Linked DNA regions of Rhinolophus ferrumequinum. The protein of the gene in region 3 interacts with the protein of the main gene of each other region in a biochemical or structural test. Links are inferred from orthologs where the notes say so. Each region holds a gene or a part of one and is shown on either strand. Other genes may lie near its edges. The genes, in order: NCOA6, TBL1X and THRB.

The links.
Region 1: the proteins of THRB (region 3) and NCOA6 form a complex in vitro, tested with the Homo sapiens proteins (2 studies listed by BioGRID). The link is inferred for Rhinolophus ferrumequinum from reciprocal best matches to the Homo sapiens genes THRB and NCOA6.
Region 2: the proteins of THRB (region 3) and TBL1X form a complex in vitro, tested with the Homo sapiens proteins (2 studies listed by BioGRID). The link is inferred for Rhinolophus ferrumequinum from reciprocal best matches to the Homo sapiens genes THRB and TBL1X.

Annotation. Positions count from the first base shown.
Region 1 is NC_046306.1:20,472,190-20,482,642, reverse strand, and holds the start of NCOA6 (nuclear receptor coactivator 6), read right to left. Parts: upstream 3,824-10,453; 5' UTR 3,691-3,823; coding exon of another isoform or gene 3,418-3,690; exon of another isoform or gene 3,410-3,417; intron 1-3,409. Other genes in the region: ejaculatory bulb-specific protein 1, read left to right, coding at 3,418-3,690, 5,517-5,599, 5,815-5,851. UniProt on the Homo sapiens protein: Nuclear receptor coactivator that directly binds nuclear receptors and stimulates the transcriptional activities in a hormone-dependent fashion. Coactivates expression in an agonist- and AF2-dependent manner.
Region 2 is NC_046284.1:119,929,821-119,940,056, forward strand, and holds the start of TBL1X (F-box-like/WD repeat-containing protein TBL1X), read right to left. Parts: upstream 3,742-10,236; 5' UTR 3,629-3,741; intron 1-3,628. UniProt on the Homo sapiens protein: F-box-like protein involved in the recruitment of the ubiquitin/19S proteasome complex to nuclear receptor-regulated transcription units. Plays an essential role in transcription activation mediated by nuclear receptors.
Region 3 is NC_046300.1:24,400,776-24,411,055, forward strand, and holds the start of THRB (thyroid hormone receptor beta), read left to right. Parts: upstream 1-5,586; 5' UTR 5,587-5,708; intron 5,709-5,724; exon of another isoform or gene 5,725-5,741; intron 5,742-6,057; 5' UTR 6,058-6,112; coding exon 6,113-6,150; intron 6,151-10,280.

The DNA.
Region 1 (10,453 bases), on a different chromosome or scaffold from region 3:
TTCCATCCCAGCAGACAGTCTAAGGCTACAGTTACTAAAACTAATCGACCACCCACCCGGAAGCATCTCCTGCAGTACCTAGCCTGGTCTCAACCACTGTTTTGACCTGAAAACCAAATTAATTCTATGACTGTGTTCAGTATATCGACTCTCAGCTTAGTGCTGGGAATCCGAAATGAACAATGTACTAAATAACAGCTAACATTATCAAGTATTTTCTAGGTCCCACACTGTTCTACGTTACATGAATTAACTCAATCCTCACAACGATCCTATGAGATAAATACTATCATCCTGTTTTAAAGATGAGGAAACTGAGGCAACTTGTCCAAGGTCACACAATTAGCAAGCAGTGGAGCTGGAATTAGGACCTCAGACTCCACTAAAAGAGCTCACAATTTGAAAACAGAGACCATTCAATAAATGGTGCTGGGATAACTAATTATACATAAGGGGGAAAAAAGTGAAACTTGGCCCTAACTCTCACCATACACGAGAGCCAATTTGATCTAAATCAAAAATAAATCAGTAAAGACTCAAGAAGATAATATAAAGAATAACTTCAAAATCTTGGGAGAGGAAAAGATTGATAAATTCGACTTTATTAAAATTCAGGACTTTTTAACACGAGAACTTAAAAGAGATTAAAAAGATCAGCAACAAACTGGGAAATGACACCTGTAATACATGTAACCAACAAAGGATTAATAATCAGAAAATATAATCTTTTGAAAAAGACAACCCAATAGAAAAATGGCAAAACAAGTCCCAGCATGGTCTAAGCTCTGAAAACCTGGCACTATCACAGTTGCCACACAGCAGACCCCAAAACAGACCTTGGCATCACTGACCAATATAAAATATTCAGGGGTCTATGTCATGCCTCAGGTACACAGAGTATGGGGGACCCAGGCAGAAAGACAGAGCCTAGATGGTTTTTCTCTATCGTATAGGAACTGGGATGGCAAACCAGAAGTTGAACATCCACATGCAGACACCTAGATCAGGGACTGGCAAACGTCTTTGTTAAGGGTCAGATAGTGAATATTTTAGCTTTGTGAGCTATATATTTTCTGTCACAACCACTCAACTCATCCATTGGTAGTGTCAAAGCAACCAAAGACAATATGTTCGAGTGTGCCAGTGTTCCAATAAAACTTTATTTACATAAACAGGTGGTAGGCCAGATTTGACTGATGGGCCATCGTTTGAGGACCCCTAACATAGACAGCTGTGATTTCCCTACACTCTAGGAATATTTTCCCTGCCTTTTATGTCTGCTAACACTTACCTCTGATTTCCTTAAGCAAAAACTACACCGCATTTGACAGCTTTGCAATGGTTTCCAAAAGTCTTTATGACTCTACCAAAAAACATCTTCCTTATTATCTGTGACAATTCTCACCTCATTTTCCTTTTATATTTTTTTAATCTCTTTGACAGCCACTATCCCACACTAAAAATCTGAGAAATTCCCTTTCTCATCACTCACAATGTCAATTATCAACACCTGAAAATTCTAATGCTGTTCAATGTTCAAAGCCTCTGCCTTTGTTCAAGCCCTCATTACTTCTTCCCTGCTCTCCAGTCCACCTTCCTGAAGAATATCCATTTATCTCCTAAAAATTAAACTTCATCATCCAGTCCCCTCCTTGAAGACCTTGAATGCCTATCAGCTAAGGATCCAGTTCAAACTCCTTAGCAAGGTCCTTCACAACCAGATTCCGACCAACTTTCTCAGTCTCATCTTTGACACCCCTCTCCCTCTCCTCCCTCCATCCCCCCATGGTACCCACAAGGTTAGGCCTTCCTGCATTAGAAAGACCCAGAACAAATGGATCATGTTGCTTTATATATGGATGGTATATACATATTGAATATCGAAAATCTTATTGCTATGAATGTCCTCGCAACCTTTTTGTTGAAAGTCCTTTTTGATTATATGGGAGCCCTATAATGTCTCATGACTGATTTGCATACCTTCCCTCAGAGCTCTCCCATAACCCATGTGAACTTTGAACTCTTCTCTATTCTGATCAAACTTCAATTAGCTTGATCATGATAGAGATCCTGGATCTCTACCATTGTTCAGTTTTGTTTTGTTTCTAGTTTGTGTGTGTGTGTGTGTGTGTGTGCCCCTTTGCTGTACAGTAAACACCTAGAAGAGAAGGCGCATCTCTTAAAACTTGAGAAAGTTAGAAGTCAAAAGGGCCCTGAAGATAACTTCTTTGCACAAATGGAGATGGGCTATAATAGAAATTATCAAATAGCTGGTTACCTATACATTTTTTTGTATCCCTCTGAGTCTCTGAAGTGACAAACTGATTACAGAAACAAAATAAATTAAGAGTTCTTTGATATAAACTGCCATGCTTGACTTGTTAACATTTTTCTCCCAGCTAGCAAATTCCTCTAAGGCAGGAGTATGTTGAATGAGGCAGCGACCTGAGTTCCAGTAACACCCTCTGCTACTAACTTTTAAGATCTTGAGAAGTCAACTTTACCTTTCCATGTCTCAGCTAAAATCACTACATCATCTGAAATCATTACATGATCTCTAAGGCCTCTGTCGTTTTTACACATTCATTCCTTCTTCACCATTCTTACTGGCTTCAATAACTTCTTTCTGATGACCTCCCCAGGTGACCCAGCTCTTAAAACAGTGGGCTGTCCCCTTCCAGGGAAGACACCTTGGGTCACCGCCCACAAACAGCCCGGTCCCTCCTTTTAAAGACACACACAAACTCTCCAAGTTGATGGAGGCTTTCTCTTTTTGCCAACCAGTTCCACTCTCTGCACCCCTTTTGCTGGCTAGCTCCTGCACACAACTGCAGTCTCCCTTTTTTCTCTTCCTTATCAAACTCTTCCCTTTTTGTTGCACCCCCCTCCGCCATAGAGAGTGGATAATCCTGGGGGCACCTATGTCCTCAGGCCCGTAGGAATTATACGGTCTTGTAATTCAGCCCCGCGACTCCAAGGACTGCCCCAATCTGATACCTGCGTCTGTACCCAAAGAGCCCCCATTTCTAATCAACCCCTTCCTCTTCACCCAAAGAAGTGCCACAGCCCTGACAGCCTGAACTCGGACCCCACGCCCCTCCGGGGTCCTACCTGCCCTGGGGTCCTGAACACCACCCACAGCCTAACCCAGTTCCAGGTCCTGCTCACCCAAGTCCCACAGACCCCGACCCCGGTTCCGTTTGGACCTAGTATCCCTAGTCCACGACCCTGGCCACGACCCCACGTCCGGCTCCCGCCAGTTCCTTGGACCTGGAACGCCACCCCATGCGTCTAGACCCCGGCCGGCCCTGCACTCCCTCAATGCCCCAGACCCGGCGTCCGACACCCTCTTCAACCCGGCCGGGCCTCCGCTCCCTCCAGCGCCCCCGCCCGCCGGCCCGGGGCCCGCTCCCCAACATGGCGACGGGGACACGAGCCCGGCGGGCGGGCGGGGCGGCTCCCGGCCAGGCCCGCACAGAAGCCGTGCCGCACGGCCAGCCGGCGCCATTTTCCCGCGCCAGGCCCGGGCGCCGTCTCCTTCTAGCGTCGCCAGCCGGGCCGGGACCGTGGACGCCCGGCGGGCCCACCCCTTACGGGCCAGCGTCGCCGTCACCTCACCTGAGCGCGGCCCCAGCCCTCCCGGGCGGGCCTCGGAGCACCGGCCCGGGCCGTCCGTGCCCGCGGCCCTCCGTGAGTGCGTCCGTCCGTCCTCGCGTGCGCCCGTCTATTCGGCCGTCGGCGCCCGGCCGCCAGCAGCCCGACCCGGCAGGGCCTCAGGGAGCCGGCGGGGAGGGGGATGGGCCGGACCGGGCCGGGGAGGGAGGGGGAGGGAGGGAGAGAGGGAGGGAGTGCGGGAGGGGGCGGGGCGGGGCGGACTAGAGGTGGGTGGGGCTGGTCACGTGACCAAACGTCCCCGAGCGCGCGAGGCGGAGCGCGCACCGGCTCACTTGGGTGCAGACCTTAGGGCCCAGACAGGGTGGATCTGTCTCCTGTAGCTGCAATATCGCAAGTGGCACCTGCCCCCACTTCAGAGTCACTGTGCAGCCCTATAGGTGCCCTCTGGCTGAGTGTTCTTGGGCAACTCCGTTCTCCAAGCCTCAATTGACCCATCTGAAATACGGGGATAATAATACCAAAGAGGAAATGAGGAAAGCATGGAAAGCACTTGGTACAATGCCTGACAGATAGTGTCATATGGTGATAAAGATAACCTTTAGCCTTTATTATTATTTGCCTATAAGTTCTTCTCTGTCTTTTCCCATCACCATCACCCCAGCAAGCTCAGTAGGTGCCCTCCCTGCTCCTCAAATGTAGGAAGGCCTCTCCAGTACCGGACCTGATGTCTGTCATGCAGGCCTGGATTCAAGGGCAGTCCTTGGAGTCGCGGGGCTGAATTACAAGACCGTATAATTCCTACGGGCCTGAGGACATAGGTGCCCCCAGGATTATCCACTCTCTATGGGGGAGGGGGGGTGCTACCAATTCACTCTTGGTAGCTGTGTGATTTTCTTTGTCTCTGAACCTCAGTTTCATCAGCTGTAAAATGGGAATTAAGGGTCTGTTTCTGTGATGCAGAAGCATCACAGAAGACAGAAGACGAGCAGATGGATTGTAAACTGATTGCAAAGCTCAAGAATACTGGTCTCATCTAAGAAAAGGAGTCTTTCATTCCACGAATATTTATTGAGCACACACTGTGTGCTTGACTCCCCTCCAATCTATTCTCCACCCTGCTGTCAGAGTAATGTCAGTAAGTCAGAAATCTGATCATGTCCCTCCCCTGTTTGAAACTATTTGATGGTTCCACACTGCTCTTAAGGTAAAGACCAAATAGATGTCTTACTGTTGTTCTTCCCACATCTCCAGACTTATCTCAGGGCCCTCTTCCCTTGTGTGGACTGCAACTACAGTGATCTCCTTCACATATTGCATTTCCCCCTTCTCAGGACACTGGCATATGCTGACCCTCAGCCTAAAATGCTCTCCCTGCTAGATAACTCATCAGCCCTCAGATACCAGCTCACACATTTCTTCCCCAAGAGCACCTTCCCTGACCACTCACTTCCCAGGCGGTTTCTCTTGCTTGTTCTCGATAGGATGTACTAAGTTGTTTATTCCGTCTTTACCACTGACTGGACTGTGGACTCCATAAGAAGAGAGACTTTGTCCATTTTGTTTACTTCTGTTTCCTCAGCACATAACACAGTGCCTGGCACAGAGGAGGCGCTCAATAAATATTTGTTGTAGGTATGAATCCTAGCACAAAGTGCTGGGCCCAAGAGGGCAGAGAAAAATAAAGAGAACCACACGCGGCCACAAGGGGGCACCTTAGACTTTTGAGCCTATGAAATTAACACCAAAAGGATTTACAAAAAGAGCCTGGAAAAAAAGTTTTTTAAAAGATTTTTCTTTTAACTTTTAAAAAGTGAGGTATAATTTACATAAAGCAAAATGCAAACATTTTATGTGTATACCTAATAAATTTTTGCTTATGTTCCTGTGTTACTACCACCCAGATCAAGTTACAGAAATACCAACCCAGAAAGTTTCTTTTGTTCTCTCCCACGACCCCTCCCAGTCAATATTGGCTCCCCCAAAGGTAACCATTATTCTAACTTCTAGCACCTTAGATCAATTTTGACAGTTCTTGAACTTCATATAAACATACAAGCATGTACTCTTTTGTGTTAACCTGGAAATCTGGTATATGCAATCTGACATGTATCTTTAGATAATGATACAATAAATGAATTACTTGGTTAATTAATTAATATGAAAGACCAAATGAGAAACTCTGGTTATTTTATCCTGCAGAAACAAGGGTCCTACCAGAAGCCAGGTAACAGGTTGAGATGACATCATACACACCTCCAAATCTCATGAAAGTTTCTAGAGGTAAGAAAGCTCTGAAAGATTCTACAAGATTCTCGTAGGACAACAAAAATCCAATTTAAAAATGAGCAAAGGGGGGTGGTTCTCATAAAACAACAGAAATTCAATTTAAAAATGAGCATAAGAGGGTGGCTGGTTGGGTCAGTGTTTAGAGCGCAGTGCTCATAACACCAAATTCGCTGGTTCGATTCCCACATGGGCCAGTGAGCTGTGCCCTCCACAATCAGATTGAAAACAACAACTTGACATGGAGCTGATGGGTCCTTGAAAATACTGTTCCCCAATATTCCCCAATAAAAATTTAAATAAAAATGAGCAAAGGACTTAATAGACAGTTTCCGAAGAAGACATATAAATGTCCAATAAGCACATGAAAAGGCATTCAATAGCATTAATCATTAGGGATGGCTATTTAAAAAAAAAAAACAAAAACAAAACCACAAATATTGGTGAGGTTATGGAAAAATTGGAACCCTTTCACATTGCTGGTGGGAATATAAATGGTGCCACAGCTGTGAAAAAAAAATTGGTGGTTTCACAAAAAGTTAAACACAGAATTACCATCTTTTCCAACAATTCCACTTCTGGATATTTACTCAAAAAAAGTAGAAGCAAGGACTCGAAGAGATATATGTACACCCATGATCATAGCAGCATTTTTCACCATAGGCAAAACATGAAAGCAACCCGAGTGGGTAAACTAAATGAGTTATTTATATACAATGGAATATTATTCAGCCTTAAAAAGGGCAGAAATTTTCACACATGGATATACCTTGAAGACATAATGCTAAGTGAAATAAGGAAGTCACAAAAGGACAAATATTATATAATTCCTTTTATATGAGATTCCTAGAGTAGTCAAATTCATAGAGACAGAGTAGAATAGTGATTGCCAAGCACTGGAGGGAGGGGAGAATAGAGAGTTACTGTTTAATAGGTACAGTGTTTTAGTTGGGGAAAATGAAAAAGTTCTGGAGATGGATAGTAGTGATGGTTGCACAACAATGTGAATGTATTTAATGCCACTGTGCACTTAAAAATGGTGTAAATGGCGACATTTGTGTTGTATGGATATATTTTTTGCCATGATTTAAAAAATACACATATGCCAGAACCTGAGCCACTGTCCTCATTTTTTTCACCTTGTTATCAATGTCCTTAAACTGAAGGTCATGGGTTTTTCTGGGATTAGCAAGGATGCAGGGAGCTAGGAGACAGGGGCCCACTTGGGGACCTACACATCTGATAAGTGAAAACAGCAGGTGCATAGGCAACACAAATATTTGTTGCCCACAGGAAGGTAGCAAAGGAACAAAAACAGGCCATAGACGGCACTAACAATAGCATAGTGCTTACAAGACTGGACTTTGAAGCCAAAATACCCAAATTCAGATTCTAGTGTTGCCATTTATTAGTTATGTAACTTTGGGCAAATCCAACCTTCTTGTTATATACATGAGGAAACTGGGATCAAACAGAGAAAAATGACTTGTCCAACAGAGTCCAAAGTATTTTCTCCTTTATTTTGTTTGTTTTTTAATCCTTAACGTAGTTTTTATTTTATGTCCCTAATAGACTGTACCCTTTCCCAAAGAAAGTATTTTTGTAATATCATCACCTGTAATATAACAACTTTTTTGTGCTTCAGTTGCCTCATTTGTAAGGTGCAGATAATAAGGGTACGTTACAGATTAGAGGATTAGAGGATTAAATGAATTAGTAGAGGATTAAGTGAATTAGTACTTGTAAAATGTTTAGAAGAGTACTGAGCACTTATGAGGACTCAACAAGGAGCAGATTAACAGAGGTCTCTAAGGAGGTTATCAGGCTACTCACAGTTTGTTATGAGCAAGAAAAGCAGTCCTAAGACATCCAAGATATTCTGGATTCAGATTTGGGTAAAGAAAAAGCAAATCAATTGTTCTTTGATGTGAACAATTTGATTAACATTTATTGAACTTCTACGTTTAAATGTTTGTCCAAATGGGCTTATGCTTTGTAGTAAAAAGATTGATAGTGGATACTTGAACCACATCTTTAACCATCTAGAGAGCATCACCATTTTACTCTCTGCAGGGTTCATCACAACATTTCCAAACGACAAGATAACCACGTTTAGTTGGACAAATTGTGTCTTTCAGGAGGACATATCTAAGTGGGTGCCATTCACTGGTAGACATTATAATTATAAATTTATTGTGATAATTTACCAGCAGATGGCAGTAAAGTATCTTTTATTATAAAATCAGCTCAACAATTTTCAGACAATAAGAAATAAAGTACTTTGAAGAGGGGTCTACTTTATATAAAGTACTTTGTATAAAGGCTTCTACTTTGTATAACGGCTTAATATGGGCTTACTCTTAGGAACAAAAGATTGAAAAGTAGAAATAGAGTGTTAACAACACAATTGAAAAAAAATTAAAGAGTATCAAGAAGTGACCCCCCCCACAAAAAAAGGAGAAATATTCGTAGAACTTAAAAGCCTGTTTTGAAAAATATTCTGAAATTTTAAAACTTTTTGTTAGAGTATAAGATAAAGACATAAAAATACACAAATCATAAGTGTATGAAGCCTGATGCATTTTCACAAAGTGAATACACATCTAACCAACTCCCAAATCAAGAAAGAGAACATTACCAGCCCCACCAAAGCCCCTTCAAGTCTCCTTTGCAGTCATTACCCATGTCCCTGAAGGTAAACAGTATCCTAACTTCTAATTCCATAGATTAGGCTTGCTAGGTGTTAAACTTTATATAAACAGAATCATGTAGACTATACTTTCTTGAGTCTGGCTTCTTTTGCTCAATTTTGTTTTTGAGCTTCATTTATATTGTTGCATATACGCGTAGTTTGTTCCTTTGCATTGCTTCGTAGTATTTCATTATTTGAATATATCACAGTTTATTCTACTGGTGATGAGCATTTCAGTTTCCACTTTAGGTCTATTTTTAATAGGACTACTGTGACTATTCTTGTACATGTCTTTTTAAAACAGCTTTATTGAAATATATTTCATATACCATACAATTTATTCATTTAAAGTGTACAATTCAATGTTTTTTAGTATAGTCACCAATAGGTACAACCATCACCACAGTCAATTTTTTTTTTTAAGTGTATTTTTTCAGGACCCATCAGGACCAAGTCAAGTAGTTGTTTCAATCTATTGGTGGAGGGCGCAGCTCTCAGTGGCCCATGCAGGGATGGAACCAGCAACCTTATTAAGAGCACTGCGCTCTAACCAACTGAGCTAACCGGCCACCCCACCACAGTAAATTTTTTAGAACAATTTCATCACCTCAAAAAGAAACCCTGTACTCTTTAGATATTGCCCTTCTCCCTACCCTCCCCCCACTTCCCCATCCCTAAGCAACCACTACTTTGCTTTCTGTCACTATAGACTTGCCTATTCTGGATAATTCATATAAATAAAATCACACAGTATGTGATCTTTTGTGTGTGGCTTCTTTCACTTAGCATGTTTTCTGTGTTCATCCTTGTTGTAATGTGTCAGTATTTTCATTCCTTTAATGGCTGAATAATATTCCATTGTATGAATATACCATATTTTATCTATTCATCCATTGATAGACATTTGGGTTGCTTTCACCTTTTGGCTTTTGTGAATCGTATTGCTGTTCATGTACAAGGTTTTGTTCGAACACTTGTTTTCAGTTCTTTGGCATATATATCTTGGAGTGGAATTGCTGGGTCATATGGTAATTCTGTTTATCTTATCGAAGAAATGCCAATGGCTGCACTATTTTGCATTCCCACTAGCAATGTATGAGGGTTCCAGTTTCTCCATACCCTGGCCAATATTTGTTATTTCCTTTCTAAAAATGATTTAAAAATTACTATAGACGATCTATAATAATGTGGAGTGGTATCTTATTGTGGTTTAGATCTATATTTCCCTAGTGACTTACAATATTGAGCATCTTGTCATAGATTTATTGGCCATTTGTATATCTTTGTAGAAATATCTATTCAAGTCCTTTGCCCATGTTTTAATTGAGTTGTTGACCTGTGAGTGTTCTTTATATATTCTGGGTACTAGACCCTTATGAGTTATGTGGTAGCAAATATTTTTCTCATGGCGGGGGGGTTTGTCTTTTCACTCCTTTGATGGTATCCCTTGATGTACAAAAGGTTTTAATTTTGATGCAGTCCAATTTATTTTATCTTTTGTTGTTCATGCTTTTGGTGTCATATCTAAAGAACCATTGCTAAATTCAATGTCATGTGGATTTACTTACATGTTTCTGCCTAAGAGTTTTATAGTTTTAGCTCTTATATTTAGGGCTTTGACCCATTGTGTTTTCTGTATGTATTGTGAGGTAAAGGTCAAACTTCATTCTTTTTTATGTGGATATCCAGTTGTCCCAGCACCATTTGTTGAAGAGACTATTCTTTCTCCATTGAATGATCTTGGCACCCTTGTCAAAAATCAATTGACCATAGGTACATGGGTTTATTTCTGGACTCTTAATTCTATTCCATTGATATGTTTATCCTTATGCCAGTATTACACTGTTTTGATTACTGTAACTT
Region 2 (10,236 bases), on a different chromosome or scaffold from region 3:
AGTAATAAAAATAACATCCTGACTCAGGGACCGGGTGTACAGGAAACAGTGAACACTCAGACATTTTTTTTTTTTGAAAAAGAAAATACTTCGACTATTGTGAAGTCTCACTTTGTTGGAACGATTCCTTGCCAGCCTTTCAATACGTTAAGACTTTGACCTCAAGCGACTGAGCCGTACTCCTTAGTACCTGAACTTCAAGGGGCGGGTGGTAGCCCAAGGTACCCACAGCAAGCAAAGATTTGAATATATCAGATGAGCCTCTCAATCAGCCACACGGGGACTCAATGATGGTGACACCAAAGGCTCCAACCAGCCCAAGGGATATTCACCACCAGCCGCTTAGGCAGGCACATGGGGACTGATGCTATTTTTTCAGATGGGAAAACTGAGGCACGGAAACGTTGAATTCCTTGCCCGAGGTTAAACGTTCAGACGCTAGCTCGCGTTCTGGTTTTCTGATTCAAAACTGATCCGAAGCCCCTCAATCTAAAACCCATAGCTGTCAATTTCAGGTGAAGAATCCATTCACTGAAATCACTTCCCTGGGTCAATTGCTGGCTGAAATGGGTCTCTCTCTTTTAAAAAAATATACCTGTGACTTATTTCAAACGATTTCTCCTCTCCCCTCACGAAAAGCACACTGACTCTCTTGTTTTATTGCCATTGTAATAACTACAAAGTAGGACCCTCACACAGCAGTTTCTGGAAGTTCTGTGCTATCCAATATGGTGGCCACTAGCCACAGGCATCCACTGAGTACATGAATTGAGGCTAGAATGACCAAAAGGGACAGAGCCGTTCCTTTCATTGAATTCTAATCGACCCTCATTATGCACACGTGACTGGTGGCCGCCACATTGGACAACACAGCTAGAGAGGAAAACAGACGGTTCCTGATTCTATTGAGAGATGTTTATACGTATACACAGATTTCAATGTAGATTCTCGTTTGTGAGTGTGTGTGTGTGTGTGTGTGTAGACTCGTAATTTAAACAGCTTTTTTCTCCAAATGGGAAAATTCACCCTAGGTAGTCAGGAAGGCAAAACAAAAAAAGGCCAAGCTTACGAGCTGGGCTTTGGGAATCAGACAACCCTCCCTCCACGACTATGTATTGCCAAGTTACTTAACATCTTTCAGCGTCCTATGCTGTGGCATGGAACTTGCTAGTATAGAGTTAGGCCCGGGAATTCCTTGGGGCATGGCATTCAAGTCGCATAAAGACAACTGTTCTCTTTGCACCAAGACCAACAGCTAACATTTACAGGCCGCTTTCCATTCCAGTTCACATACATTCTCTTCCCGTCCTCACACTGCCTAGTGAGTACAGCGATTTCAGTTCTCCTTTGTATTTTTACACACAGAAAAGTAACGCTCAGCAAGGTGCAGGACTTCCAGAGCCACGGTGGAGCAGGAACAGGGTGGACTCGTTCAAATCACACAGGGATAGCCAAATGTCACTGGTCATGATGCAGTTGGACTCCAGGACCCTATTCACCACTGTGGGGGCCACAAAGCCCATTGAAAGTCTCCTAACAGGAGGCAGACTCATGATGTCATCACACAAACGGAACGCTGAAGCTCCCAGAGATACAGATGGGGGTCCAGGCCCAGAAAGACACCAAACATTCTCCTTACCCAAGACGCCCAACCTTTCAGGAAGGGTGGGGTTTGGCAGATTTAGGGATCCACGTGTGACATTTAAATGGGGGTGTTGATAGTTCCTGGACTGACCGAGCCCTGGATAAAAGCACAAGAGTCAATCCTAGAGGATTCGCAGACACGTGCGCTGCTCTTGGCGAGTGGCCCCTTCCCACGTCCCACTGTCCCCTAAGGGGGCCCACCTTGCTCCTGGTGTCCCTCTGGGCCTAGCAGAGTATCTTATCTGGGTACATTTTTGAATAAATGTTTATCCATCACTAAAAAAGGGGAGGTACCTCCTTACTAAGATACTGTTGTACAAAATCATGCTACGGATACAACTGGTGAAAGCACCCCAGATTTTGAAACATTCACTTTTGGGCATCTTCAATAATACGGTGATCATTATTATTGTTGTTATTTTGCAAACAGTTTCTTCTTTAAAACTACTGGCAGAGGAAAACATCACTAGCCCACTGAAGGGGCAAATGTACACCACCAAATAAACCACCAAAAATCCCCATTTCTGTCCCACAGGTGTGTGTACACGGAAGAGCTGGAATCCCCTTGAGGGGCTATTTTAATAAGTGGCTCAAGTGACGAACTTCAACTTTTATCCCTGGATTATTTACCCAGCTGGGTGGTTTTCCATCAAAATCTGCAGCACATTTGACACATAGCGTCCTTTAAAATAAAAGCGTCATCTTAACGTCGTAATTGTTCCATACTCCAACATTTTTTTTCCCCCTAAAAGCATCTTTTCTAGGAATGACTAATTCTAAACTTTTCCTAAAATCGTCCAGAGCCATTTGTACCCCAAGCCACCGCTGGGGACCTCAGCAGGGCGTCCCCCTCCCTCCAGGTTTGGAGTCCCGCCCCTGCGCTTCCAGGTTAAACCAGGGACTTGGGCGGCGCGTCAGGAGAGAAAAACATCCAGAAGTCAGGTCAAGCCACATGTGACAATGCAAAGCAGAGACAGCTGCAGATGCGATAGGGGCTGGGTGGGTGGGGGTTTTGTTGTTGTTGTTGTTGTTGTTTTTTGGGGGGTATGATCCACAACATGACCTCCGACTCTAACTTTCTGGAATTTGCCATGCAGTTGTGCGGGAAAACCCCAGGCCAAGCGAGGAGCGAGCCCCGGCCCGGGCCTGACCGCGCACGGGCGACGCACGCGAAGTCCAGGCCCCAACCCATCGCGGGCTGGCTTCTAGTGACCCCCAATTGTCACATGCCCGGCAGCCACCGACACCCGAAGACGCACCCCCACCCGGTTCCGAGGACGGGTCCCCAGTGGGGAAAGTCCCTCCGGGAGCAGGGCCCGGGACGCGAATCTGGGGTCACCCCTCCCCCTAGCCCGGGAGCAACAGGTCTGCACCCTCCCCAGGCCGCGCTTTGCAGACCCCGCCACACCAGGGGCGACCCCCACACACCGAAGTCGCCCCCAGCCAGGTCCTCTCGCTCGGGCCGGGGGGTGGGGGGGTTCTGACTTCCTTGACAGTTTCTGCGCCTCGGAAACAGAGCAGCCGCGGGGCCTCGCCCGGCACTCACTCCACGGCGCGCCGCCGCGCGGCCACCCGGTCCGGGGCGGGCCGGCCGGAGCCCGGGATGAATGGGGCTCCCCTCCCCCACGGGGGAGCCCGCGGCGCCGCAGCTTCGCCCACCAGCCCCAGGGGCGGCAGACAAAGGGGACCCGGGGGCAAATGGAGCGCCTCCCCAAACTTACCGGCCGCCTCCCACTCCCCAAAACAAAGAAGCCCCCCCACGCGCCGGCACTTTGGGGAGCGGCCCCCTCGGGGTATTGTTCAGCCTGCAGGGAGCGCGCCGCACCCCAACCCGAGCCCCGGGGACAGTTGGGGACCTGCCCCTCCAGAGCTCCGGCTGCGGGCGGAGCGTGCGGGCGCCCCGAGCCGCCGGCCAGGCCCACCCCCGCCGGAGAAGTTTGCGCCCCCCCGCCCCGCGCCCGCCGGCCGGGCCCCGCGCACTCACCTCGCCGCGGGCAGGGCAACTTGTGGGGCGCCGCCGCGCCGAGCCTCCCTCCGGCCGGCCGTCGCCGAGCCGGGCCGAGCCGCGGCCGAGGAGGGCCCGGCGCCCCGGAGCAGCCTCGCGCCGCCCCCGGGCCGCCCCCGCCCCGCCGAGTCCCGTGAGGCGCGGGCGCTGGAAAGTTTCGGTGCCGAATGGCGGCCGAGGGCGCTGCGGCGGCGGGGCGGGGCGGGGGCGCTGGCGGCTCTCGGCTCCCGAGCGCGGAGAGTGGGGGGGCCGAGGCGGGAGCGGCGGCGGCGGCAGAGGGCGGGACGGCGGGAGGGACCGGCACGGGCAGTGACCTCAGGGGGGAGCGGCCGCCGCCAGAGCGCCGACCCCGGCCGGGAGGACTGCCAGGGGGGCCGCCTCCGCCGCCCCGGCCCGCCCCTCCCCCAGCCCCCCACACCGGGGGAGGGGCACCCGCGTCCCCTCCGGCCCCTCCCCTGCGCCCTGGGGGACCGCGTCCCAAACCAGACCCTCCCCCACTGGGGGTAGGGACGCCGGGCCAGCCCCTCCCCCACGGCGGCGAGGGTGAGAGTCCGCGCCCCAGAACTGCCCCTCCCCCGCGGCCTCTAGGGAGGACCCGCGTCCCAATCCAGCCCCTCCTCCACGGTGGGGGAACCTGCGACCCTGCAACGTCCCTCACCCCAAGCTTCCCCTGCCCCCACGCCTAGGGTGGGTGAGGGGAAACCGGGCCTTTCCCTACAAGCTCTGAACCCAGTCCTTTCCCCGTGGCCTCCATAGGGAGGAAGGGAACGCGGTCTACCCCCACCCAGTCCCAAACCTCAGTCTTTACCCCACTGTCGGGGTGGCGGGGACCGTAACCGGGGCCACCACCCCCGAGGTTTCTCCATAGGGGAAAGGAACCCGGGCCGGTGCTAGAGTGTTACCCTCCCCCACCGCAAAAAAGAAACCGCCCAGTTGCCCTAACAGAACCCTTGTAACCTGCCCCAGGGGGCATGTCCCTCAAAATCCGCGGCTTAGAGGACACCCCAGTGTTCTCTCCCCCTCCCCAAAAGGTGGGGGCTCAGGTGGAGCCCTCAACCTTTGCAAAAACAGCTACAGGGAAGGGCCAGAAACGCGTGGGGAGAAAGAAACTCAGACACACGGAGGTGGAGGCCAGGAGCTGGGGTGTGGGGGTTCCGGGAGTTGGGGGGAACCTCCTCCCATCCTTATCCCCACCCCCACAAGCAGGCTTCAGACCTCCCTCGGGCATTTCCAAAGTGTTTTATGTTGCAATGGCTTGCTTGGCCCAGCCCTGGTGCCCCCCAATCCCCAGCGTCCCTTCCTCCCCTCCACTTCGGTGACCACTACCCACCCCACGCGGCCTTAATTCAATGAAATAGATACCCGCGCCCACCCCAAGCACCTTCAGTGTCTGCTTTGTTGAATATTTTAAAATAAGTGTGCCCCTCCCTTTGGTGTACACTGAGCTTCCCGCTAAGAGCCCAGTACACTCAGCATTTTAAAGTGTAACCTCACTTGCTCTTTTCTGGGACACTGGACCATTTGTTGTTCTGGTGGCCGAGGGAAGGGGGCCGGAGGTGAGCTTTTAAGGGGCTGGTCCTCCATCAGAAAGGCGGACCTAAGATTTACCCTGCCATATATTGCTGTAAAAGGTCAATGATGTAAAACGACTGTTGCTACACCATTATTATAGAGCACGTCAATAAAAAATCCACACTTACACAGTCTCCATAATTGTGAATCAGCAGAATAGATTGTGTCTTATTACGTATCAGTTGCCATTCAAGACCACCCCCAAAAGGACGTGGTGGGGCCTTCCCTCGAGCCTGCCCTTCGTTGCTCCCGGACTCCCTGGGCTTGTGCGGGCTGATGCTGAGAGGTATTACATGCAATCGAAAAACCGAGGGTGCAATAGAAAACCCGAGCGAGCTCATGATGCAACCCTGCCCCGGTTACACGTGCTTCCCCTCCCCCACCGCCTGCTGAGGGTAGCGCGGCGTTTTTTCCGCCTGTAGGGTCACATTGTGGTTGATTGATTCTCCTTTCGCCTGGCTCAGTCATTCAGATTTGGAAAGTAAATAACAAGTTGACATCATTACAGCTTTCGGCTTTACCCGGACGCGGCCCTCGGCTACCGCAGTCTCTCGAGTAACCGCGCAGCCAAACTGGCCCTGTCTGGCTTACCGGCTCTGCCTGTCTTTAGCCGCTTGGAAATTCCAAACTGAGCTTGGTGAAAGGCCTCTTGGTATGTTTTGATTACTTGGCAGATGCCAATCGTTTAAAGTGTGGGAAAGGGATGGAAATCCTCGCTCCAAACTATGACCCAGTGTGACCAGTTTTTACAGCTGTTCTTGGGTAACTAGCAATGCAGGTGAGCTCAGAATCTGCCTCGCCTGTTTGATAATGTCCCAATAATCCCAACGGTCTTCTTGCAAGTCAGCAGCTTAGTGCTTTAATCGTAGACTCAAAGGAACCCCACCCTCTCACCCCCATGGGACTTTGTAAGACCTCAGACAGGAAGAGACAGACTTATGTTTATCGTAATATCACCGAAATTCCTCTTTCTGAAATGCTAGATGGTGGTAGGTAGGTGGTAAATTAGACTACTTTGTTTTACTCTGTTTTGCAAATTTTGCAAGGGTGCAGTCCTGTAAGATGGGAGAAAACAAGGAAAGAGGGAAATAAATTAGAGCAGGAAAGGGACTAGTGCTTTCTGATAAAAGTAAATATGAGGTCGTGAACAGCAGTGATTTCTACAGGTAGACACAGCACAATATCTGCGTATTAAACAATTACTTTTCCTTGCTGACGGGAGGGAGCCGGAGTATAAGAATCTGCTTGCAACAAATGCTATCAGCATTCCCCTTAAGCAGTAGCCAAAATGTTAATTGAAAGACAGGAGGAACCCACACCAATATATTCAAATAATCTCTGGCAAAGTAGCAAAGGAATTTCAATGGCAAAAGAATATCCTTTTTAACAAAGAGTGCTAGAAAAACTGAACATCCATATGCAAAAAAAAAAATAATAATCTAGCCACAGACCTTCCACTGGTTTAAAAAAAAAAATTAACTCAGAATGTAGAAGGCAAAAGTATAAAACTCCTAGAAGATAACATGGGAGGAAACATACAACACCCAAAGCATAACCCATGGGGAAAAAATTTGATAAGTTGGACTTTATTAAAATTAAAAACATCTGCTCTGCAAAAGACACTCTTCAGAGCATGAAAAGATAAGCCACAGACTGGGTGAGAATATGATATTTGCAAAATTCGTATCTAATAAAGGATTATATCCAAAATATACAAAGAAGTCTTAAAACCCCACAATAGGAAAATAATCCAATCAAAATAGGCAAAAGAGCTGGGGAAAAAACACACAAAACACACCCAAGAGAGATATAGAGATGGCAAATCAGCATATGGAAAGATGATAACCATCGTATGCCACTATCGTATTGCACACGATAACAAAACACCACCATACAGCTATTAAAATGGCCCCAGAAAAGGTTTTCAATGACAACACCGAAAGGTAACAGCATGCACTCTTTGCTGGTAGGAATGCAAAATGATATGGCCACTTTGGAAGACAGTTTGGCATTGTCTTACAAAGCAGGCAGTCTTACACAATCTAGCAACCATGGTCCTAGGTATTTATCCATCTACATGAAAAACATCCACACAAAAACCTACACAGGAATGTGGATAACAGCTTTACTCATCAGCAGACACTGAAAGCAACCAGATGACCTTTGGTAGGTGATGGGTATGTCCACTGTGGTCCATCCAGACAATGGAATATTATTCAGCACCAAAAAGAAATCAGCCATCAAACCAAGAATGGATATAGACAAACCTTCAATGTATGCTGCTAAGTGAAAGAAGGTGATCTGAAAAGGGTACGTGCCATAAGAGTCCCACTCCATGACATTCTGGAAAAGGCAAAATTAAAAAGATCAGTGGTTACCAAGGGTCCTGGGAACGGGAGAGAGGAAGGATGAATAGGCAGAACCCAGGGGATTTTTCAGGGCAGTGAAATATTCTGTATGATCCTGTGATGGGTACGTGACGTTTTGCATTTGTCCAAACACGTAGCACTGTACAACACAAAGAGTGAACTCTAATGGAAACTATGGGTTTTATCAATATCGATTCATTAATTGTGACACCTGGGCCACACTTAGGAAAGATGTTAAACTGCAAACGGTGTATGAGGGGTGTAACAAGGAAACTGTGCACAGAAACTCTGTTCTTTAAAAAATTGTCTTTTTAGAAAAAAGGTCGTAGGAAGGGGTATTAAAGTTATGAGAGTTCTTGTGCGACTTACTGCCCAGTTTTCCTTGAATCCAATATCTGATTTCCCTCAGGCCTCAAGACCTTAGAAAACAGCTGTATTTGGAGCTACAGCCTTTCATGTTGGGTAAATAAGTTAATGCGGTCGTTAGGATGAGTCCCGATGCAATGTGACCAGAGTCCTTACAAGAACAGGAGACGAGGACAGAGACAGGCACAGAGGGAAGACCACACAAAGACACATGAAGGAGAAGGCGCTTTGCAATCCAAGGTGAGAAGACCTGAGAGAAACTTCCTGCCTCCAGGATCGTGAGGAAATAAATTTCCGTTGTTTAAACCACCCAGTCTGTGGTGCTTTGTTACCGCAGCTTTTGCAGACTAATGCACGTGAGTTGTTGCTATGTTTTTCCATTTGGAATGTTACCTTCCGTTCACATCATTAGAATCCTGAAAATACCTTGTATTTGGGATGGGGGTGTTCATGCACCGTATTGCATTTGATCCCCCCAGTAATATTGAAGGGCAGGGACTTTTTTATGTCCAATAGTCAGAGGAGAAAACTGGACCCAAGAGGTTAAAAAGTTAAGGGGGTGAGGGAGTGGTGATCATGTTTATGCTTCAGACCCTCTTTGTCAGCTTAGTGAATACTGTTTCTAAATGCATAAAATGATACATGAAATATATTAAATACTACATAGGACTACAAAGAAATACATTTCCGTTAAAATAGAGTTATCAAATCTTTCAAGAATTCTAATTAATGCAAGCGCTTCTTCCTCAGTACGTAGTTCCAGTGGGAAGCTCTAGAGGTGATTCCTATCTTTTCAAAGTAGGGATGAGGGTAAACAGAACCTGCTTCAACTATAGCCTGCTCTGAAAATATATCAGACTTTTCTGTCGTTGACAAATTGGTGACAAATTAAAGACACTGTAATGCCAGAGCCACTCATCCTCTATAGTCGTAGTTGTCGGAAATGCTGCATTTCAGTGAGTGGTTAGTGATCGGAAAGCTGCCCCTGGAAGTTCATCCACCACCTGGAATCTCTCCCTGGGGCCCTCCTGCCAAGGGAGAAATTGCAAGCTGGAATCCAGGGCCCTCTGTTGCCCCTCTCCCTGCCTGGTTTCATTCATGCCACCACGATGGGTCCCTCCCAAGGGACGTGGGACACCAGGGTGGGGCATGTTTAAGGAGGTGCCCAAAACTCAGTCGTCAGGATACATAATGTCGTAATGCCATTTGTTAATACTTAAAGTATCAAAATGTTAGATGAAGACGGGATCTGACCTTGCCGTTCCAGGCACTGGGGAGGAGGAATTAACCGGCAACATTGCCGGGTCGATGGAGCCTCTGTTCCAGGATGGGAGTAAGCAGCTCGCATCTCTATGTTTGGGCTCCCGGCAAGCTAAGGATACATTTTTAAACAATTGGAGGAGGGGGGAAAAAAAAACATCAAAAGAGTAATGATACTAAAAGAAAGAATAATGATACTTTGTGACATGTGAAAATTATATGAAATTTGAATTTCAGTGTCTATAAATAAAGTTTCAGTGCAACGCAAACACACCCACTTGTTTTGTGCTCCCAGAGATGTGATGGCAGAGTTAAGTGGCTGAGACAGACCCCCCCGGCCCACAAATTGTCAATCATAGTTTCTGTGTGGCCTGTTACAGAGTTTGCTGACCCTTGCTCCTAGGAGACTGAATGATTCCAAGTTCTCACACAGCGTGTTAACATCTTCCTAGGAAAATCTTTTCTTTATTAGAGTGTGTTTTCAAAAGAATTCCGGAATACATTAAAGAACACCTTTTTTATTCGTACTTAAGAAAAAGGAAGAGAAAAATGATGGTGGAAAGGAAACACACACTGTCTTGAGGAACCAAGCTCATCCTGTTTGCGGATGGCGATGGACTCTAGAAAAGCAAAAATGCCTGGGGACTCGGCCATAGTCACCCATTCAGAGAAGGCAAAGGCCATCAGAAGGACTCAGCGGAATTAAATGTATTCTAGTGGGAGCAGACGCTGGTGAGCAAAAGAAGAACTGAGACGATAGTAACTGTATGGTTTTTCTATCTAACAAAGTTTTCTAAACTTTTCAAAGGTGACCTCACCTGTTGTCATAGCAACCTAGCAAGTGGTTGGGGAGCTCCACCATGACCGTCTTCATTTTACAAAGGAGGGAAGTTGCCACTCCGAGAGGTTACTGGCTGTATCAGTCTCCAATCGCTGCTGTAACAAATTACCACACACTTAGTGGCTTGAAACAAATGTATCATCTGGCCATTCTGGAGGTCAGAAATCCTGCTTGAGTCT
Region 3 (10,280 bases):
AAATGTCCATTAATTGGAGAATGAATAAATTGAGGTGGTATATGATTGAATATCAAATAGAAATTGAAAATAGAACTATCTAATCCACACAATAACGTGGACCTATCTCAAAAACATTCCATGGAGTGAAAGAAACCAGATACATGAGGGATACATTGTGTGATTCCATTTATATGAGGCTCAATGAAATAAATGATATTAGCAAAGCTAATAAATGGTGATAGGAATCAAAACAGTATTTACTTCTAGAAAAGAAGTGGTTATGAACAGAGGAAAGGTACAGATAAACTTTCTGGATTGCTGGAAATGTTTTCTATCTTGTTCGGTGTGGTGATTACACAGGAGTATAAGAATATAAACATTTATCCAACTGAACACTTAGGATTTATCTATTTTACTATACATAAATTACACTTCAATTAAAAAATTATTACTCTGAACATTTTTAAACCACATTTTGTTCTGGAGCTATGTCCATATTGGTGTGCCTAGGCCTAGCAAATTATTTTAACAGTATCTATTTAAAGAAAAGATGATTTATGCTCTGATGGAGTTTGGCTTGGCTGATGGGTATGTTGGCATAACACTAACTACTGGAACAGATAAACTTTCATATTTCAGTGGCTTACCACAAAAGAAATTGATTACTCAATGACTGCAACCGTTCAAGGTGAGTCTTCTCATTCTCTTCCACATGGTGACTAAGGGACCCAGGTTCCTTCCAGCTTATGGCTTACTAGTTCCTGCCCACGGGCCTCTGAATCTTCTACCTCTAGTTGGAAAACAAGGGAAGAGAATGTAATTAAGGAATTTTCTAGGTTTCTAGCTGGTAACATGAGTGTTTCATTTCAGCCTTTTCTGATTGTCTCAATGCACAGCAGCCCCTTAAGCGAGGAACTAGGGAGATGTCTCGTGCTTCCCAGAACATGCTCACATTTTCCAGCCCCATGTGCCTGCCCCATCACTCCTTTTCCTGCACACAGATAGCACGATGGGTGGTCGAGAGTACAGCCTCTGCCACCACAGTGACTGAGCCTGAGCTTGAACAAATTAGTTGACCTTCCTATGTCTTTGCTTCCTCATCTGGAAAATGGAGTGCACAAAAATACTGCTTCACAGAGTTCTTGGGCAATTTTTTTTTTTTTTTAATGTGTGAAATACTTAGGATAATACCTGGAACATAATGCATGTTTAATAAATATTAGCTATATTATATACTGCTTGCTATAACTGGCCATGCCAGAATGTCTGCTGTACCTCCAACATGCGCTAGGCTTCTACCATGACAAAGGACCCAGTTCCTTCTCCAGGGCCAGCTGCTTGGGCGTGCAATCTGTGCAGATGCACAGGGCCCCATGCTCAGAAGGGTCCTGTGCTCCAGGCCTGGCACTTAGTTTAATGCTCTGTTTCCACCATCATAAAACTCATTCTAATTTCGTCTTTGAACTTGTGTTTTGTAAGTGACATTTGATGGGACAATGGAACACGTGCATGAGCAAAGGCGATACACTCAATATATATGCTCACAGCTGTTCTTTGCTGCTGCACTCATATACAGCATTCTTGATGTCCCTTGAGCACAGAATTCCAGTGGCCTCACGATGTGTGAGAGGTCAGCAAAACGCAAACTGTGTACACGGTAAGCACGTTACATCTATGACTCAGTAAATGCGAGCACTGACAACCCCAAGAGGCCATGCTTTCCATTCCAACCAGAACTTGCTTTGAATGCAAAAAGAAGGCAACAACCAAGGAACTCTATCATGTGCTTTCTTACTAGTGTTACTTCCCTGTATTAGCTAACCTTTTACTATGAAAATGATGACATTGAACGATAAGGCAACCCATAGTTCCTTCTCCTTTCCCCATAGTTCTTCCTTACTCGTCAGTAAGTCAGAGTGTTGGTAGAATGAGCACATGTCAAGAAGTAAAGTAAAAACAGTTCCATTAGTTTTGTGCTGTGTTTCCCCTGTTCTGATAAGAACAAAACATATGTGCATATATAAACTCAGAATACGTATTACATACTAGCTACAAAATACAAATTGTGTAAGTTTGTTGATTTCACATGAGTTAAATGCTCTTATATTTGCATTTAAAACTAACATTGCATGATGTAAAGATGAACAGTAAAATTGATGCTAATAATTTTAAGTATTTATTTTTCTATAGTTACAATATTAAATAGCAAATAAAAAATGCCATGATGATGCCAAAGAGGGAACATGGAAGAAAGGAGATAGCTTTACATATTGTACTTTTAATGGCACTTTTTTTCCTGCTTTTTGAATAAAGGGCCCCACATTTTCATTTTGCACCAGGCCCTGAAAATAAGATAGACAGCTGCATCTTTCCCTCTCTCTGACTTCCCCCAAATTTTCACCCCGCTGTCTTCTGCAGGAAGTCTTACCTGAGCCCCTCATTCTTCGTGGATTATTGCAGCCTCCTCACCCGGAATCACCTAGCAATTTATGTTTCTATATTTCTCAGTACACCTTCACATTTAGAGTTAATTTTGAACATGTCATCTCCCCTAATAGTCTGTCTTTCCTGAAGGGAAGGGACAGACTTGGCATTTTTATCTGTCTGGCCATGGACCAGAATCATTGGGACCTTCACAAAATATATTCCAAGAACTAACAATGAACAGATAGAATCAGAATCTCCAGGGCTGGGTCATTTGGCTGCACAGCTAGCTTGAGAAGTTGAACTGAGTTGTTCAATGAATGAAAGAATACCAATTGTTCCAGGACCTGAAATGGTCATTCCTCTTGTTCTAACACTCCCTGCTAAAATCTGGTCTATTCTTGATGGACTGTTTCAAGTGCTACCTAGTTCTGTGAAATCTCTGAGTTTCACTCTCACCTCACCCCCATCACCCATTGTACCCCCTAGAATAAAATCAGGAAACAAAAATTGTGTGTTCTGTTGGCAACCCTTCTTTACCATCAGAGGGCCAAGTCAAATGGAATCCTAGTAGTTCATGCTGTTTCAATAATGGTGCATTAAAATTTTCCTCCTCCATTGTTATAAAACATTATTGCAATCATAGTCTCATGAATTGTTTGAATAATACCACATTATTTATTTAATGCTTAATTTACTCTATATTTCAGAAGTTTCCAGGCAAAATGAGATTAGAAAGACAAAGCCATTTGAACAAAAGACAGCAAAAGGATTTGTTATACTTCATTCTCTGTATTTCTCTGGTGTTTCCTAATTAAGATGGAATTTAGCTCCAAGATATACTCAGGAAGAGAAAAAACTAAAAAGGTCCAGCAGCCTTTAAGGCCTATCATCCACTTTTGTAAAGGAAGATTAGCATCACCCCTCACACACCACCACCACCACCACCACACCACCACCAGCAGCACCACCACCACCACCACCACCACCACCACCACCACCACCACCACCACCACCATCTCCTCTTCCTCCCATTATTACAAAGTTGTTTACCCGCTCCCGGCCCCTGTGAAAACGCGGTTGTCAACTGTTGTGGCCTATCAGAGCCAGGCTTTTTCCTCAGTGGCCAACTTTTTCATTCACACTTAGCCACCAGGGGGCCCCCTGTTTGGAACAAATGGTGCATACTACACAGTTTTCCTCCAAACCAACCAAAACATCCCGGGGCAGCTTTGGCAGAAAGTTCAGGAACTTCCTTGCAAAGGCGAACAATTTCTCTCCAGCTACAAAACCTTCAAGTCCTATGGTCTAGCCTTACGACGAGTAAAGAATGAAACACGGATTTATTGCCAAAGACCGAGGAGAAATAGGGTCCATGGAGTCTAAAGGGAGAGGCTCCTTTCTCTAGCTAGGGAGCCTTAGGGTCTGCGACTTTCTCTGGAAGCGCGCTGAAACTGTGCTTCAGGCGCCGGGAACAGTTTCCGAATTCCTGACAGTTGTGATGGTTAATGCTGTATGCAGGAGTGGTGGCTTCTCGCCCTTTTCCGTGGGATACTCACCAGAAGCTGAAATAAAACACACGTCACTGGCTGGCAAACTAGAAAACTCTCAAATAAATCATTCATACATTGTTCGGGCAGTTGAGGATACATACAAATCTGTCACATTGTTATATGAATAAATGTGTACAGTGAATAATGAAGTCAGAATTCTTTTAATATTATCTATAAGAAAATAACTACTACTCTGGTCAAAATAGTTTTGTTGCAACTATAGCTTCTCAACGACTTCATTTTAGCTTTTGGGGGGTACTCAGTAGTTTTATAAGCATTCTTCTGGCCCAGAATGTAGCTGCCTATTTCATTTTCTATCAATCCATGGCCTTCAATGTGTTTTTTGGGGAATGGGGGGGGCACTTAGAAATTCCTATTTGCCTGGGCAGAACTTTTCAAGAGTATAAATTATTTTTGTCTTCAGTTTTATTTGTACATGTCCAGGGTAAAAACAAAGTAATAGGGTAGCCCTTCTGGAACCGGTGGAGGGTCAACCACGGCACACATCTCCCAGGATATGCATAATAGTGTGAGGATGTCTCCATCAAGAGCAAGCCAGGTATTTTCCAAACTTCCAGTCCCGAGAGGTGGTGATGGTAAGAGAACGCCAGACGGCGCGGCCGGTGGGAGGCCCCAGGAGGGGCCAGGGCGCTGTGTCGGCCCCACAAGCGCCACAAGTGGTTTGGAGAAAAAGGGAGGAGCGCAGCCCGGCGGGGCAAAAATAAAGCCCCATACTTCTGGAAGTCACCTCCTCTCCGCCCCACCCCCACCCACCCTCACCCCTGTCACTTGTCCCCCATTCCTTCCTCTTTGCCTGTTGAGGAATGACGCCCAAACCTGAACCTCCGCGCGCGCGCCGCTGGGTGGGTGGACGCGCGGCCACCAAAACCACCGCAACATCGCCACACAGGGAAGGGCACCCTGGGTGGAAGGCACAGCTGGGACTGGGAGGAGGGAGAGCAGCCGAACCTGGGGAGGCAGGTGTGGAGGCGGGCAGCCCGAATGGTGTGTGCGTGGACGCGGGGCAGGGGTACGCGAGCCCGGAGGGCTGGACAAGTCAGAGAACCCGGCGGGAGCCGGGCGGGATCCGGGAGGGGCGCGTCGGGTGCCAGCCGGGCGGCGGCGGCGGGGCGTGTGGCCGGGAGGCCATTTCCTCGCTGCGCCCCTGGCGGAGCCGGGTTTGCCTGCTCTTGGCCGCCGCCGCCGCCGCCGCCGCCGCGCGAGTCGACCGCCGGGAGGGCTGGAGGGGAAACCAGGTCACCGGTTCGCAGAAGCGTCGCAGAACGGGTGTCCCGGGATCGGAGTAAGGCAGCGCCCGGGGAGCGGGCCGGGGCGGGCTGGGCGCGCGGGGGGCCGGGAGAGGCGGGGACTCCGGTGCCCGGGCCACACTCGCTTCCTACGCCTATAAAAGTGGAGTGGCAGGGGAGGGCTGACGCGGCCCTGGCGGCGGCCGCCTCTCTTCGCCCAAGGAGTTGACATTTTGCAGGACTCGCGCGACGTCCCGTCGCCGCGCTCCGCGGGACCCGGCCGCCCGGAGGAGGGGGCGGAGGAGGGTGGAGACTGTGGGGCTTGGCCAAGGAAGGCGCACATCCTCGGGCAAGCGGCCGTGACGCGGCGGGGATTAACTTTGCATGAATAATGTGAGTGCGCTTAGAAAGGAGACCTTCTGCTCCCCGGGCTCGGGGCAAGCGCCCGCCGGCTGCCTTCCCCCGGGCAGGGGCGCCCAACCCATCTGGCTCCAGGGCACTGGTAATTTGGGGAGAGGACCAAGCAGAGGCGGAGGTGCGGGGCGGGGGTTAAAGGGGAGAAGGGGGCGACAGATCCAATGTCCAGAAGGGTGGGCAGGACGGTAACCGGGGTGTCGCGGGAACCTGAGCGCGCGCGGGCGGGCGTGGGTGGGTGGGGGTGTCAGCCGCCCTATTACCTGCCTCCGCGGGGTTTTTGCGCCCCGGATCGGGAAAGAGGTGCCCTCTCGTGTTAGGGCACCGTGCGGCAGCTCTCAGGGAACCAGAGCGTGGGCAGTGGTAGAGCAGGGTGGCCGGGGGCCGCTCCAATCGCGGTGGCTGTGTTCCTCAAACCCCAACCCGGCTGTTGACAGGCTCCTTGTGAAATGGAGTTTGGCATCCTCAGCGCCGAACCGAGTGGAAGTTTCCATGATGAAGAAGTTCTGTGACACGGGGGTTCGGAAAAGGTTGGCAAACACGGCGGGGGGAGCGGTTTAAGGGGGCTGTAGGCCCCCCATCCCCCTTTTTTTTCCTGCCCCGGAACTGCCGGGTTTGAAAAGAATAATCCTGAATGTTGGCGTGCGCTGTTACCGGTGCCTGGCGACTTGGCTTCTCCCCGCCTCCTTAGGGAGTCGGTGGCGATTTCGTTAGCCTCCTGGGTCGCACTTCTTTGCTTCTCTTGACGCAGCATCTTCCTCTGAGTCGCTTGAAGTTGGTTCTGATACCAGGAGTTGTGCCAGCTGTGCGCTCCCCCCACCCCCGCGCCATCCTTCGGACAAGGACTAATTTGGGGGAGTTTTTTTACTCCTGGTGGATTTTGACCTTCTTAACTGCAGTTGTCATTTGTAGGATTTCCCAATGACCATTGTAGGATTATTATTAGTGCTAATTCTTAAGCCTTCCGATTTGTTGGGGGGAGGGGTAGAGGTGGGGAGCGTGGGGTGAGTTTTTTATTTATTAAAGGTTAAATGTATAATTTTCTCCAAAGGGGAAATTTTCAAAGGTCTAGACGCATAACAATTTGTAAAAGTGAATCAAAGCAAGAGAAAAGCACTTACCTGAACAGAGAAGTTTAGATTCTCCATCCTCCCTGCTCCACAGACATTTGGAATATGTGAAGATTCAGACACTACCCCAATTAGTAAATAAATTTGAAGCAGTCTTTTCCTCTTAGCATGTTACTGGTCTCAGGTGCTAGTGAGATTCAGTTTTAAAGACCTGTTCTGAAGTTCAAAACCATAAAGCATTCCTTGGACAGTATTAATATTGGAGTACAGCAATTCTTATAATGATCAATGTATTGGGTAATGCAGACCTTTTGGTCAATATCTTTACATTATTTTGCCTTATTTTAGTTTAGTATGCTTAGTTACATTGTAATAATATATAGCATGCACTGGTTTACAAAGTAAAAATTGCTATTTAGTCAAAATATTCCATGATTCATTCTGAATATTCACCATGACTGCTCCCTAATTCACTTCTATTTACCTCTCTTATTCTGAAACAAGTCAGGGACTAGGAAACTTTTTTTTTTTAAAGGTGTTTTGATGAAAAGTAGTTTGAGTAATGGATGCTTTTAGGAGTTTTCATACCACTTGGCTAAGTGTTTTGACTCTAAAAGAAATTCAATCGTAACTGATTTGTTTGGGGTTTTACATGGGAAGTCTGTGATTGTTAAACAGATACTATCAGAATTTTATTTTTAATGAATTTCAAAGTTTTGTTATACATTGGAAGTGGGACCATCTGCTAGTAAATATGATTTGCTTTTATTTTTCGGTGAGTGAAAGTAAATGATACTGAATATAGCCACAGAACTATTCTTTTTTGAAACAATTCCTGTTGGCATTATAATTCAAAGACATAATTTTATTGATATTGGAATATTGTTTTATAAAGTACTGAATTTACAAGAGGAATAAGCATTCATTTCTCCCCTATGGATTCTTTGTAGCAAATTCTGCTATAGAGATAAATTAAGACAACTTCCTTTTAATCTACGTTTTTGGGAGAAGGTGATTTCTTAAAATTTCCTTGAGAAAGTGGTGGATTCCTTTGCTTTCCTGAGGTTTTTGCAGTTGTTTGAAGCTCGGGGTGTGTGGAGTCACAAATAGGATTTCATGTTTCTTTTTTTAGTAAGCTCATCTTTTTTATGGAAATCAGAATAAAAACATTGGTTTCTTTACCTCCTTTTGTCATTCTAGTGTAAGATTACCTGTCAACTTCTTTAAAAACCTTTCCCTGATAATTTGAGCAAAGTTAGTCCCCCACTCCCTCTCAGAACCATCACACCATTTTTTTGTTTCCTTTTTTCCCTTTCCTTCATCTTGTTTACAATCTGAATTGTTCATTTCAGTTGGTACTTACTGATTACCTGTCTCCTGTGTCTAGAATATAGAATCCATGAGAAAAAGAGTTTTGACTGCTTCTCCAGCATCTTGAATAGTGTTTGGCACACAGTGGGTTCTGAATAATTTTTTTTTGAATAAATGAATGGTTGTGCCCAAACATTATGTTTCCCAAAGTACCTGACTAAGCTTCCTAAGTGGGTACCAGTTGGGTATGCCAAGATCTGTTCCTGTGTATGTGTGTGTGCCATGTATATATGGTTCAATCTCAGTATCTCTCTCTCTCTCTCTGAAAGCTAGCCCTATTTTGTATAGTGACAATACAGAGAGTTATTTCTGCAAGTTTTTTACCTGGGGGCATTTGCCTTGAGTACACAGAAATCCTCAGCAGCAGTTTGTCTTACTTTGATTCTCTGAGACTTTGACCTTCAACACTATGGGTTTCAGCAGAATTTTTATGAGTTCCAGAGGTATTGTCAGCGCTAAGAGTGAAATTCCAGGGAACAGACATCACTGGGTGATCGGAATGCCTTGTCACTTAGCAGGTTCTGGCAGTGTCTTTGGCAGCCCTAAGGTGACCAAGGACACTTTGTGGTATAGCTGGTCTGCAAAAGTGGTGGATGAGGAAGGGGCAAATGGGACTGTCAGGATCCCACACAGGGTAGAAATAGCCCTTGAGGGTCAGTTTGGAAATAACCTGGTGGTTCGCCTGTGTTGTAAGTTAAGTCTGTCATCCTCTCCCTTTCCCTCTTTTCCCACTTCCATAAACGGATTTTGACCAGACGACTATGGGAAATACTGGATTATCTGTGTTTTCAAGTGACAGAGGTGTGATACCCAAGGGGTTATCTTCAAATTAGCTATTCATGTAAATTCTTTTGACAGTTGAGACTAACAGGAAATTACAATTGATAATTATGGTCATTTGTTTTTATTTTTTAGAGTATCAACTTTCAGAAATATGGCTGAATAAATGCATAGTAAAAAATTCCACAAAACGATGAGACTGGTAAAAATGATAAGAGAAGAAAAGTTTAAAACCTTATAGAGGAGCAAAGATAATTAAACTGAAATCCTAAGTGCGTATTGCTTTTTAAGTATTTAATTTAGTTCTGAGCTTCTCTGTAGCCAAGTTACTAGAAAAAAAAGGAGAACTGGAGGTGGCAAGTATGTATTCAAGTTGTAAGGATAGATCAGATAACATTTGTAGAGTGCTTATTATGGTACCTGACAACTAGTATATACTCCTATGAAAGATCAAATCATGTAATGGCCAATACTTGAACTTCAATTCTATAGAAAATGAAGTAGGGTTCTTTATATGATTGTGTCTTTTACCAACCTTAGAGGGGAAAAAATGGAGAAAGCATAATAATGAAAAGTAACCCAGTGAGAGTTAATCTTTGGAGCCTGATCTGCCATGGTCCAGCGGTAGAGATTCTAGAGATTGTCCCCAAAGCAGAAATAGAGCTCAGAAAACCTAGAGGAATGAATGGTTAACATGTTCTTTAGGCTGACTTTCTCAAATATCCACAGTCTCAGCCAAGCTTTTGACTAGAGCAATCTGAGAGGACAGGACAGCCAGGTACTTGAAAATGACACTATGGTCATAAACCTCTCTGAACAGGTGTCCTTGATGATTTGTGCTGTCGTCTCTATACTTCACATCACCCTGCAGGGTGGTTTGTTTTTAGTGACCATTTCTGTCTCCCCCACTAAATTGTCATGAGGGGGCTATGGGTTGATTCATCATTGACTCCCCAGCAAAGGACTTGACACATGGGCACAAAGAAATGCTTGTTGAAAGAATGAATCGATGATGAGAAGAGGAGGAAGGTGCTTCTCTTTCTCTTCTGATGTTGGTATTAAGTGTCATCTTCTGACTTGGTTGTGCCCAAAGTGAATGTTTGCTGCCTGGATTGCATCATCTGTCCATACCACAGCTGAATATTTTGCTCGAAGGGCTTAGTCTAGTGTCTGAGCTGGTTGAGCAATGGATGGCAAGTTAACTCCTTGCTTTGTTTTAAGGTCAGTGTGATTACTTGATTTGGTTCCTCATTCAGTCTCTAAAAATTGGTGTACCTACTACATGCCTGACCCTATTAGTCATTTAAGACAATATGCATATATTAATACACAGGGATTCTAAAATAGTTTACACTGTGATGAATGAATCTGCCTATTGGGTCTTTTAGATGAAATAATTATTTTCCTCTGAGGATTGGTTTGTGGTTTCTGCAGCCCAT